Macaca mulatta: one gene and its partners. The protein of the gene in region 1 interacts with the protein of each later gene in a pairwise test. Links are inferred from orthologs where the notes say so. Each region holds a gene or a part of one and is shown in the gene's direction. Other genes may lie near its edges. The genes, in order: ERLIN1, AGR3 and SEC22A.

Region 1 (3,649 bases):
TGAAAACTTTGATAGTTCCTTATTACCTCCAAACTAATGTATGCTTTTTAGTATGAACTTTAAAGTTAGCCCCTGTTTGATGGGCTAACCAGCAGGTGTTTGGTATTAGTATTGCAAATACAAGGGTATTTGGAAAATTGAGCACAAGCAACACATCAAGATTTGTTAGTTGTGGTTTTTGGTTTCACTATTTTGTTGGCACTTTTCCTCATGTGTAGTATATCACCCTGACTTTGACCCTGGCTGAATTTGAAGGTACCTGAGTCATTGTTGGGTAAAACAAACATGGGTTGTACCTCTCCTTCAGTGTTTGATATCGTGAAGAACTATACTGCAGATTATGACAAGACTTTAATCTTCAATAAAATCCACCATGAGCTGAACCAGTTCTGCAGTGCCCACACACTTCAGGAAGTTTACATTGAATTGTTTGGTAAGTGTCTTAATTCTTTTAAATATGTAAATAGCCAACTGGAAATCTAGTTCAACTTATTGAGATATTGGTAAACCTTAGTGCTATTTAAGCATTTGTTCTGAATTTATCATAGAGCAATTGTCTTTAAAATATTTTTTATCTTAAGTTTAAAAATTTTTGTATAATTTGGTAGAGATTGGAAAAACTACTCACAGACTATATTCTGTTTTTACTGTAATAACTTACTGAAAATAGCTTTGTTACTATTTTAATAGATAATTTGAAAAATTTAGAAACCTGTGTCTTGAGGCTCCCATTTCTGATGATTTGGTAGGAGACTGACACGACTCAGGATATAGTTGTGGTCACAGCTAAGATTTATTACAGCCAAAGGGTACAAAGCAAAATCAGCGAGAGGAAAAGGCACATCAGCAAAGTGCAGAGGAAAGCAGGTGCAGGCTTCCAAGAGTCAAACATGTGCCTAATTCCCACAGCAACAAGCTATGACAACACATGTCAAATGTTGTCTACTAGGGAAGCTCATTAGAGACTCATTGCCTAGGGTTTTCACTGGGGGCTGGTTATGTAGGCACCCTCTGCCTACCACATAACAAAATTCCAGACTCCTAGAAGGAATGCAGGTGTTTGGCATAAACCACATTGTATAAACAGTTCACAGCAAGTCAGTTGTATTAGCTCTGGGGATGGTGGGACCCTTCCACAAATCCAAGTTCCTAGGTTCCAAACAAGGACCAGTTTGCAAAAGGCCTTCCTAAGGATCGCAGTATCAGCCCTGCTTTCTTAACTCACTTCTGTACAACTTAGCTTTTCATTTATGATAGTGGAAATTCTGACCAGGCAATGAGTTGTTGCTGTTGGTAGCTCACTTTTCCCTCCTGAAATTTTTAGTGAATTTCTAAGATGAAGGAATAAGCAAGAGTAATCAATTTAAAATCTATCAATTGAGTCCTCTTTGGTGATTGTCAACCACTGCAGTGGCATGGGAGAAAACTGATGGGTCCTGCTTTGTCTCACCAGCAATCATTTAAATAGCTGAAGTACCATTGAGGTGAAGAGAAAGTGCATGGCTACAAGCCCAAGTGTTCCTGCTGTGTGTACTTCAAATACTTTTCTATGAGCTTTTCTCTCTGTCTCTCTCTTTCTCTCTCTCTTTAAATCCAAAATAACAGTAAGGCTGAGATCCATGGAAATGAAGTTTAGTTATATGGGAATTCGAGTAAAGATTTACTGAAGGTAGAAATTTGCTTTTCTTTGAGAATCAGGATACATATTGAGTAAGAGCCCTGAATTAAGATACTAGAGATCCAGATTCTCCATTTATTAGATCAACATATTTTACCCAGTAGTTGTTTATCCAGTAAATAAGTCTAGTAAGTTACCCAGTAAATAAGCTTATCCATAGTTAAGTAGCACATTTAGTGGGTGAACTTATTGGATAAACAGACTATCTGCTTGTCATCTTCCTTAATTTATTAAATAATTCCTCACAATTTTTTTCCCCACACAAAAGAGAAGAAAAGGCAGTTTAAGCTCTGTAAAAGAATAGTACTGTGGAAACTTTAGGTCTAATAGTGATTAGTTTTGTTTCGTGAATACAGTGTAAAAAAAATTGAGTATCATGAGATCTGTTGTTCTTGGCTTAAAAAACAGATCAAATAGATGAAAACCTGAAGCAAGCTCTGCAGAAAGACTTAAACCTCATGGCCCCAGGTCTCACCATACAGGTAAGTTCTTTTCCTAGGGAAGTTCTCTGGGGATTTTGAGAGTTTTGAGTTTGTTCCTCCTTTCATTGGATTGTTTATTCAGCAATTATTTGGGATGCTGTGGTGATTTATAGAATACCTTTCTCAATTTGACTTCAGATCTCTGCCAAAATAAAATACTCTCGTAGCTTATTATGGGTGACATTTGTGAACTCCTAGAGGGAACTGATAAGCTGAGGCTCTTACAAGGAAGTCAAATTTATATTTCTGCCATGTATGAAGCACTAAGATACAGTAATGGTTATAAATCAGTGTAAGCATAATCCCTGCCCTCAGTAAGATTATGGAAAGGGAGTTCAAGTGTAAGATTTGAACAATTCTGGACAGAATAGTTATCACAAAGTATTAATTGACAGATAAATCTATTGAATGATTATTGCTGTAAGAGTAAGAGAACATTGGAAGACAGTGTGTCTAGGAGAGGGCTATGATTGAGTTGAGATTTTAAGTAGGTTTGGAAAAATTAATTGGATTTAAATGGGGGAAGAATGAGAAAGGTATTTCAAGTGGGAGGGAGAGCCCTAGTAAAAGCAAGGTAGCAGGTGAATTTAGTGGTAGTGGTGATGGTGACATTGGGAAATAGAATGGTGAGAAGTTTTACCCCTGCTTTTTTTTGAGTCACTGTGTTTTCAGATTGTGGGTTTTAAATCAACTTTAGTGAGTCATGAACAGAATTTTAAATAAAATGAAATAGAATAAGAAAAGAAATGGCATGTAGTAAGTTTAAATATTCTGTGAAACTTGTGTTTCACAGTCTGGGAGGGTAGGTGTTTATATTGGGTGTCAGTGCAAAATGTGTTTCTCACTGTGTCCACAGTCAATAACATTCGAAAGCCACTGCTCTGAATCTAGATAACCTAAGAAGTGGTATTGAGGCTTCTCTAGTGTCCTTTTACAGGGGCTCTAGGAGACCAGTTGATTGTTGATTGTTGTGATGAACATTACTGCAACCAAAGTTTATCACATGTCTCTCAATTCTTTACACTCAGTGCCACTGCTACTGAGAGTGTGCACTCACTGTGATTGTATGTGTTTGTGCTTCCTCATAAACCAGACTCGAAAGATAGGTGGGGTTTTTCTCATGGCCTCATTCATGCAATGTCATTATCTCAGACAGGCGCCTGAAGGTGAGCCACCAGAGTTAAGGGGTAGTTTGAAATACCCAGAGGTAACTTTGGAAAGTCCTCTGAGTTGTTCAAGTCAGTTGTAACTGGAGTAGCTTTTTGATTTTAAAGATAGTGAATGTGAAGTTCAGCTCTTCTTAGATTCTGCCCAGGGTGTTACTCAGAGATCTAGCTTATTCAACAGCTGTTTAGAATTCCTTGCCTTATGTTAGCCATTTTTCTGTTCCCAGTTTTTTGCTATTAAACAATAGTGTAATGAACATTCATGACACATGTTCCTGTATGTACAAATTATCTTTCAAACTGACTGTACGAATCTACATTCT
Region 2 (4,170 bases), on another chromosome or scaffold:
GAGGAAGGGAGGGAGGAAGGAAGGAAAGGAGGAAGGAAGGAAGGAGGGAGGGAGGGAGGGAGGGAGGGAAAGGAAAGGAATTTATAAACAATACCCTGGATTACGCTTCAATAAACATTTTCTGTAAACATTTACTAAAGATAGTAAACATTTTCGGTTTTGCAGATCATACAGTCCCTGTCACAAGCACAGCTGACCCTTAAACAACATAGGTTTGAATCGTGTGGGTTCACATAGAGGAGAATTTTTTTTTAAATAAATACAGTCCTTCATATGAGCAAGTTCTGCATCCACAGCCAAAGTGGATCAAAAATACTGTGTTCACGGGATGCCAAACCTGCACATATGGAGGACCAACTTTTCGTATCTGTGGGTTACGCAGGGCCAGATATGGGACTTAGTGTGCACAGATTTTGGTATCCACTGTCCTGGACTGTACCGGACTTTGCTGTTGCAGTGCAAAAGTAGCCATAGACACTAGTAAGTAAATGCACATGGCTGCATGCCATCCGCCAAATCTCTCTCTATTTATGGACACTGAAAGTGAATTTCATATAACTTTCACATATCACAAAATATGATTATTTTGGTTTTTTTCCCCAACCGTTTAAAAATGTCAAAATCGTTCCTGTTTCCTGGGCTGTGCAAAAAAACAAATCTGATGACATCCTGCCCTACATTATTCTAACAGTAATTAAATAATTACTGTCAATTAATTAAATAGTATCTATTAGATAAATTTAAACTCATCTAATTGCTGTTTTCTATTTTGTGCACAGTAAAGGTTTTATAGAAAAATTGTAAAGAATAATCAAATGATGAAAATGTTCAATTTTAAAACAGAATTATTTCCTTCTCTCTCTCAAAAAAAAAAAAGGACTCAATCTCTTTAGCTGTTAATTATATTCCTGTAAACAGAGTAACCCTTAGGAATTTCTATTTGCTTTCTTTCTAATCTGCAAGCCTCACAGCACTCACATCAAGAACAATGGCATGCACACAGTTCTTAAATTCAGTCCGGTTTCCTTCTTCCTTTTTTTTGTGTGTGTGTGCTGAACTTCAGCCAAACATTAAATTACCTTGGGAAATAAAAAGTAAAAGAGAAAGAACCACAAAGATGGTATTTAACCTCATTTTATGAGGACATTCAATCTGAATTTAGAGAAAAAGAAAAGCGCTTTGTTAGTGTGAGAAGCATGAGAACTGGAAAGAAGCACAGAGTTTTTCAGACCAGCCTACTTTCTAAAGTTTGTTTTCCGGTAACTATGCTCTTGTTTCTATGCAGGTGAGGTTGTAGGTCAGGTGTGTGTGTGTGTCTATAAATCCACACCCATTTTTAACCAGAAACATCCAGAGTACATTTCCAACAAGAGCACTGGCCAAGTCAGGTAAGCAAGCAAAGTTTCCAGATTACTTAATCAGTGGTCAAGCTTTGCAATATTTAAATAATCACCTTTTGCTATATAAAAGTGAAGCTTTCAGTAAAGGCTGGGAAAGTGAAATGAATTTTTAATTTTCTTCTTTTACCGAACTGGATTTCCTTTGCTAGTTTCATAGTTTTATCTCTATTTATATTAATGGTATTAGAATAAATTGACATCAACCACAAAAACAACTCTTTAAAAATTATTCTACAAGTATTAATAGCTCTTCTTTATAGTCTTTTAAGTCTTGTTTTATTTTAAAATATAGGTGCTTATAATATCAGTTACTTATGTTAAATTACTTTTGAAAAATAAAATACTAATGTCAGAAAATGCTAATTGACCAATGTTTATACAACCTAATTTCTGGCATATGGTTATATGCCTCCCAAATGCATTTTAAGCTGCTATAGGCCTGTAACCATGCCATATTTATCTGTGTTCCCCCAAGTATCTTAACCTTGCAACTGATTCTAAAGGACCCTCAGCAATTTACAGTGTATGTTACCAAGGAAAGCATTATTTATTCAAAATCTATAATGTACAAGTTGTACTGCTTTGTCACAGAATATATTTAATACCTATTTTATAATTTATCAATGTAAAACCAGAAAACCAAGATTTTTATTTTTTAATTAGAAAGTATTTGACAATAATACATAAATATTTGAAATTTTAAGGAAAAAAATGTTCCCACCTAACTCTAAGCTTGGCAGCTTTAAAATAGCAAAAATGATGAAGTTATGCTTTTTCTTTTTTAAAATGCAGATTCCACCTGCTTGTCTCTGTACCTAACATAGAAAAATCTTTCTAAAGTGCCCTCCAGATTGACTTTTCTTAACTCTTCTTTATATCCAAGATCCCTGGAAGAATTTTAATGAAGTTTTGGACCCTATTCCCATGGAAAAGGAACAGGCAGATAAAATTTTGCATGCAATTTCCAGGGGTTTTGAGCCTTCTGTAGCTCATCCACAGGCCTTCTAGAAGCCTGCTGGATTCAGGTTAAGATCCTGTCCTAGATGGTTACTTCAGTTCCTCCACTGCAACTCCCAACCTGTCTAACTATGGCTGCCTTTGCTGGGTTGGGTTTCATGTTCCAGAGTCAAATGTCCCTGTCCTCTACTAAAATCCACCCTTTCTTTGTTTCAGTCTTTAAAGTACAAGATGACCGAGGCCTTAAGGTACAAGATGACATTCTGAAATGTTTTATGGCTTAATAAGTTATGGAAACTTAAACTGAAATCCTTATCAGGCACCATGATCATTATTTAACAGGGTTTTTATATGCCTGGAAAGAAAGGACGGAAGAGGACGGGAGGGGAAAGGAGGGGAGAGGAGGGGAAAGGAGGGGAGAGGAGGGGAGACGAAAGGAGGCCGGGAGCTGTGGCTCACCCCTGTAATCCCAGCACTTTGGGAGGCTGAAGCAGGTGGATTATTTGAGGTCAGGAGTTTGAGACCAGCCTGGCCAACATGCTGAAACCCCGTCTCTATTAAAAATAGAAAAATTAGCCAGGTGTGGTGGTACACACCTATAACCCCAGCTACTTGGGAGACCAAGGCAGGAGACTCGCTTGGCTAAGGAAATTTTACTATTTTGGTGACAAATTCAATACTAAATAATGTAAGTCAATAGGAAAGACATCTTAAAGGAACTTTAAATAAATGTGAAGGATATCTGTATATTTATTTTATATTTTGAGGTAAAGTTTCAAAACTGCATGCGCCAACCATTTTCAAATGAGTTTTATATGCTAATGCTGTAACTAAACATCTCACAAGTATTACAGACTTCCTGTAATATATTTATCAAGTGGTTTATGACCAGATCCAGATCAGGTCCAACTTTGGACTTTAGTTTTTATCTTAATGCGCAAAGTATAAAAGACTCACATTGAGTTAAGAATTGGTTTGAATTCTAGCTAACCAGGAGAGAATGTAATCATGGCACGTCTACGCTTCTCTATACATATGTCTAATGTATAGTAATATGACAGTATTTTATTTTTATAAAGAGCTGTATTATAAACTGAAGGGCAAAATTCTGATTAATTGTTGAAAGGATGAGAAAGGTAAGAAACTATAAAGGAACTGAAGGACAAGAATCCTCCATATTCTATTTTTCCTCTGATTTCTATTTTAAGCAATATTTGTTCATGTATAATCTTATCTTGGTATAGAGTCAAAATGTTTTGACCTACTAGATACAGGAGAATCAAAAGGCAAAGAATATTTCTGCATGCTAAAAGTCACTTTATAGTTTACAAGACATTAAAAAACATAATCTTATTTGAGTTTCATCTTGGTGGTGTGAACACTACAGGGCGATTCAGAAGCAGGCTTTGTGTGCCCTGAACCAGCTGTCTTTTAATTATACAGCACTATGCCCAGGATGCTCAGAACGTGACTTCTCACCAACTGAGCATGTATTGAGTTGATTAAGTATTTTAAAAATAAAATGTGAATGAAAGTTCTATGTGGTTGGTTATACCATGTCAAATCAAAAAAGCAGAACAGTCTGTCGTCACAGTATTGGTCCAACTCTTAGCAAATATCTTTTAATAATAGCTTGAAGCAACTCACTAGATTCTGAGAATTCCTTTCTGTCATCTAGCTTCTTCTGAGAGATTCTCTAGAAGACACGATGCTACACTCAGCTTTGGCTCTCTGCCTCTTACTCGTCGCAGTTTCTTCCAACCTTGCCATTGCAATAAAGAAGGAAAAGAGGCCTCCTCAGACACTCTCAAGA
Region 3 (4,315 bases), on another chromosome or scaffold:
AATCTATGTTAGTTCAGGCCTTTCTTCTGAACTTTAGACCTACATATCCAAATCTACTTGACATCTCTATTTATAGACATTTCAAATTTAACATATTCCAAGCCATTTGCTCCTCCTCCTGTGTTCTGTGAATCAGTAAATGGCTTCTTAATCCATCTAGTTACTTAAGGAGTCATCCTTAATATTCCTCTTTCTTGACCCTTCCCGGCAAACCAATCTGTTATTAAGTCCCTTGGATACCATCTCTAATTTATACATATCTTGAAATTATCTACCTCTTTCTGTCTCTAACTCCCATTATACTAGTTCAAGCCATCATTTCTGGCTTTGCCTGATGCAACTGCCTCCAAATGGCCTTCCAGCAGCCTTTCTTGCCCTCTTCCGAACTATTCTCCACAAACAGCCTGAGTGATTCTTAAATATGCAAATAGGATCCTACTTAATAGTCTTTATTAGTTGCCCATTGACCTTGGGCTGAGATGAGACAAGGGCCAGACCATGCTGGCTCTTATTGGCCACATTACAGATTTCAGGCTGTATTTTGGAAGTTTCTCCTTGCTCCCTACACTCCATCCACACTGACTTCCTTTTACTTCCTAGAGCACAAGAAGTTCTTTCATGCCCCAACAACCTCACACATAATAGTTCCTTGACGGGGAACATTCTCTAAGGTTCTTTAATATGCCTGCAGCTTAAAAGGCACTTATTCAGAAGTCTCTTTCCTGACAGTCCAAAATTAATTCATCATTGCACCCACTAATTTTCCCTCCCAGTACTGATCACAATTTATAATTCTGTAACTATTTATGCTTTCATATCTTTTGCTCCAATTACGTCTTAAATTCCATCAAGTGTTATGTCCACTCCTGTAACCCCGCGTTTAACACGGTGCTTGGCACATGGTAAACAGCCAGTAAATGCCTGTTTAATAACGCATGACCGATGCGAAAGCTGGAAGGGGTCAAGGGGTCGGCATCTGGCACTTCTCTGCCATAGTTTGTTTCCTTCTTGTGTGTGGGTATAGACGGGGCCAGGTCCTCTCCTTGCTCACCCACAGGGGGCTTTTCTCCCTGTCCCCTTTATAAGTGTCTGCTGTAGGGGCCGCGTGTGAAAGACAAAATGCCTGCAGATACAGGGCGGCGAGCGGAGGGGATTGGCCCTATTTCTAAAGTCAACGTAGTTCTGTCATCAGAGGACTGTACTTTTCTGGCGCAGGTGCGAGAGACGCTGCCAATCTCTCCTGGAGCGGGTGGGACTAAGGCGGGTCCTGGGATCGGGCGGGTTGTTGTGTCCTTCCTGCAGAATCCGATTGGCCTGGGCGAGCCGAGGGAACGGGGGCGTGGTTTGATTCCGCGGGCGCGAGCCACGTTGGACGCGGCGCAGCCCCGCCGAAAGGCCCCTCCCAGGCCCCACAATGCACTGCGGGGTGCGTCACTCGGAGCGGCGGGTCCCGTCTCGACAGGTACTACCCGGCCCCTCCCAGTCCTCTTCTTCCCTTCTTAGGGGTCGTTCGAACCCCTGCCGGCCTCTCCCCTCCCTCTCCCTGCCTCCCGCGACAGCCTCGGTCTTCGCCCTCGGGACTGAAGACCTACCCGACGGGCAGGAGCCAAGTCCGTGCCTTTGGGGTGGGAGCCGGGGCCGCGGAGCTCTGGAGGGACGGGCAAGCAGGGACCCCGTCCACTTCGACTTGAGGTTTCTCTGGGGCCACGCGGGCGGCCGTTGCGCCTCGTCTGAGCCGCCTGGGGTATTGGGCAGCCAGGGAAGGAGTGTCTAAAGGGGAGGGACAGTCGCACTTGGCTGTCAGTAGGTTGGTAGGGATTCCCTGGCGCCCAGTTGTCAGAAACACGGTGATCTACCTGTGTAGGTGGCCCGCGGGAGCTTGAGGTGGTATTTCCTATTTCTGTTAGGCAGAATGGGACTTGAACCAGTGTCTTACTTTACGTCTTGCGGGGATGGAGTGAGCACTGAACCCAGATATTTGCCCGTGTTGGCTCACGGAAACCTCTTGAGACCCTGCCTCAAGAGTCACTTTGGGAACGATGTGGCAGAAGGGAGACCTGAGCAATTGGCTCAACAAGTGGAGGAGGCTTCCGAAAGAAAAGGACAAGCCCCAGCTGTCCTGAATCTCTCTGCCAGTGAAGACAGCTTAAGATAATTTTTCTCCTGCTGCTTAGTTTCCTGGGTCATCCACCTGGGGCAGGGGGCTAGCTTGAGAACCAGTCCCTCCTGGGCCTATTCAGCCAAGGCAAAGCCTAGCCCAGAGCAAAAATGTCAGCCACCAGACTGGAGATGTTGGGAACTTCAGTCAGGGGAACAGCCACTTTTCAAACTCTGAATCACTTTTCATGTTATTGATATTTGCTTACATGCTAAGATCGGAAGGAATCAGGCGGTGCCTTAAACGGTACCTACAATTTCTGGCATATTAAGGTTCCTTCAGTATTTGATTCTGACACCTGTGACCGTATCCTAAAGTAATGGGACATTCGGGTATTTCCTATGTTGAAAACCATCACATCTGTTTAGTGCCTTTTTGTGTGTGTGTGCGTGCAACTGGTTAAAATCGAAGTATATCTTATGTTGGTCTATGAAAGAGGCCCAGGTATCACAGGGGTGCCTGTGACCTTCCTTGAGTGTCTCACAGAGTTGTTAGAGTTGGGTCTGAGTTTAAATCCCTACTTTGTCACGTACTAGTTTAGGGATTAAAAAAATTCCTTAAGCTTTCTGGGCTTGAATTTCCTCAAAGGTAAAATGGAACTAATAATACCTACTTCACAGGTTTTTGGAAGGCTTAAATGAGGTAATGTGTATAAAGTGCGTGGTCCATGGAGAGTAATCAATAAATAATATAGCAAATATTTAATATAGTGCTTTTAGTATGTTACAAGGCAGTGTTTCAGGCGCTTTACATGATCCTATGAGATAGATACTATTGGCATCTTTAAAATAAGCCTATGAGATAGATACTGTTAGTAGCCATAATGTATAGATGTAGAAAGGCAAAGCTTGCCCAAATTTACATGTCTGCTACATGGTGGAGCCAGGATTAGAACCCAGGCAGCAAGTGAATAGGAGTTTCTATATCCCTGGTTTCTTATCTCTTGTTGGTTTTGGTAGACTGATGAAGCATAGTAGTGTGTAGATACTAGAAACTTAGACTGAAGTACCAGTTCTGCTATATACTAGCAGTGTGACGTTGAGAAAGTAAGCCTCAGTTTCCTCATCTGTAAATTGGCAGTTCTACCTACCCAACTGTGAACTATGTGGCACTATACAAGTGTTGGAATTGACACATTTGAGCATGTATTGGGGGCCCTGTCCTAGATGTGGGTAAAATCTGTTGTGAAGTCTGAGGTCTTATACATACTGTGCAGTGTAAGCACCCATAATAGGAATGTCACACACTGCTAGTGAGGTAGAGGGCATAGGCAAAATGACAGAAATTCCATCCTCTTTATCACCCAATCTATCCCCCACCCTCCCTGTGTATCACAAGTAGTATAGCTTTCTGTCCAAATTAACTACCACCCTTTCCCATTCCCACAGATCTCAGCTAGCACTTGTAATAAAATAATATGTACCATATTGGTACTGTCACATATGCAAGATAATTTGATAAGCAAATGAATATTAAAGTTCTCCCAAAATTTTCACACACATACATATTTGAATGAAACAAGTTCTTTTAATTTAAATTAGGAGAAAAACTTAATATCTCAAAACTGATTTCACAGATATTATTACTAAAAAATAAAGGACAAGAAAAGTAAGTCAATTCAAAGACCAATATTAGGTAAATAGTACAGATGGATGAAGATAATTCTGAAAGTGGTACTTGGATGACTGAAGACTGGGAAATTACGAACTAAAACAAATATGAGTGCTTTTGCCCCCAGTATAAAATGTTTTTATCTTAAAAGTGGCATTTGTGAAAGCATTTGGTTAGAACGTATATACAAAATCCACTTATATGTTGGGCTTTATTTATTACCTTTTGAGAGATACCTTCCTGAGACATTGAGCCCATAGTCATTACCCACACAAGGTTCTGAAGAAGAGGGGTGTCTTGTTATCTTGGGTCTGAGAACTTGCTAACCATTCATTACCATAGTAGTTTGGCATTGTGGGAATTTATTTTCCTCAGACTTTACGTAAAAGTTTACCCAGATTTACCTAGATTCTAACTTGTGCTTTTTCCTCCAACAGTTGCTGATGGGGAGAGGAAAAAATAGCCACTGTTCCGGTTCCCTATGAGTTAACTGCTGCTGTCCAAAGGCAGGTGTAATATTTTCTGTGTATTAAAGGTGAGGAGAAA

What was found.
Region 2: the proteins of ERLIN1 (region 1) and AGR3 interact in binary tests that used the Homo sapiens proteins (3 or more experiments, as listed by UniProt). The two-hybrid records come from large-scale screens. The link is inferred for Macaca mulatta from reciprocal best matches to the Homo sapiens genes ERLIN1 and AGR3.
Region 3: the proteins of ERLIN1 (region 1) and SEC22A interact in binary tests that used the Homo sapiens proteins (3 or more experiments, as listed by UniProt). The two-hybrid records come from large-scale screens. The link is inferred for Macaca mulatta from reciprocal best matches to the Homo sapiens genes ERLIN1 and SEC22A.

Annotation. Positions count from the first base shown.
Region 1 is NC_133414.1:112,220,903-112,224,551, reverse strand, and holds part of ERLIN1 (erlin-1), read left to right. Parts: intron 1-307; coding exon 308-433; intron 434-2,086; coding exon 2,087-2,160; intron 2,161-3,649. UniProt on the Homo sapiens protein: Component of the ERLIN1/ERLIN2 complex which mediates the endoplasmic reticulum-associated degradation (ERAD) of inositol 1,4,5-trisphosphate receptors (IP3Rs).
Region 2 is NC_133408.1:111,392,459-111,396,628, forward strand, and holds the start of AGR3 (anterior gradient protein 3), read left to right. Parts: upstream 1-1,344; 5' UTR 1,345-1,388; intron 1,389-2,573; 5' UTR 2,574-2,605; intron 2,606-4,035; exon of another isoform or gene 4,036-4,038; 5' UTR 4,039-4,065; coding exon 4,066-4,170. UniProt on the Homo sapiens protein: Required for calcium-mediated regulation of ciliary beat frequency and mucociliary clearance in the airway. Might be involved in the regulation of intracellular calcium in tracheal epithelial cells.
Region 3 is NC_133407.1:160,563,952-160,568,266, reverse strand, and holds the start of SEC22A (vesicle-trafficking protein SEC22a), read left to right. Parts: upstream 1-1,481; 5' UTR 1,482-1,610; intron 1,611-4,206; 5' UTR 4,207-4,304; intron 4,305-4,315. UniProt on the Homo sapiens protein: May be involved in vesicle transport between the ER and the Golgi complex.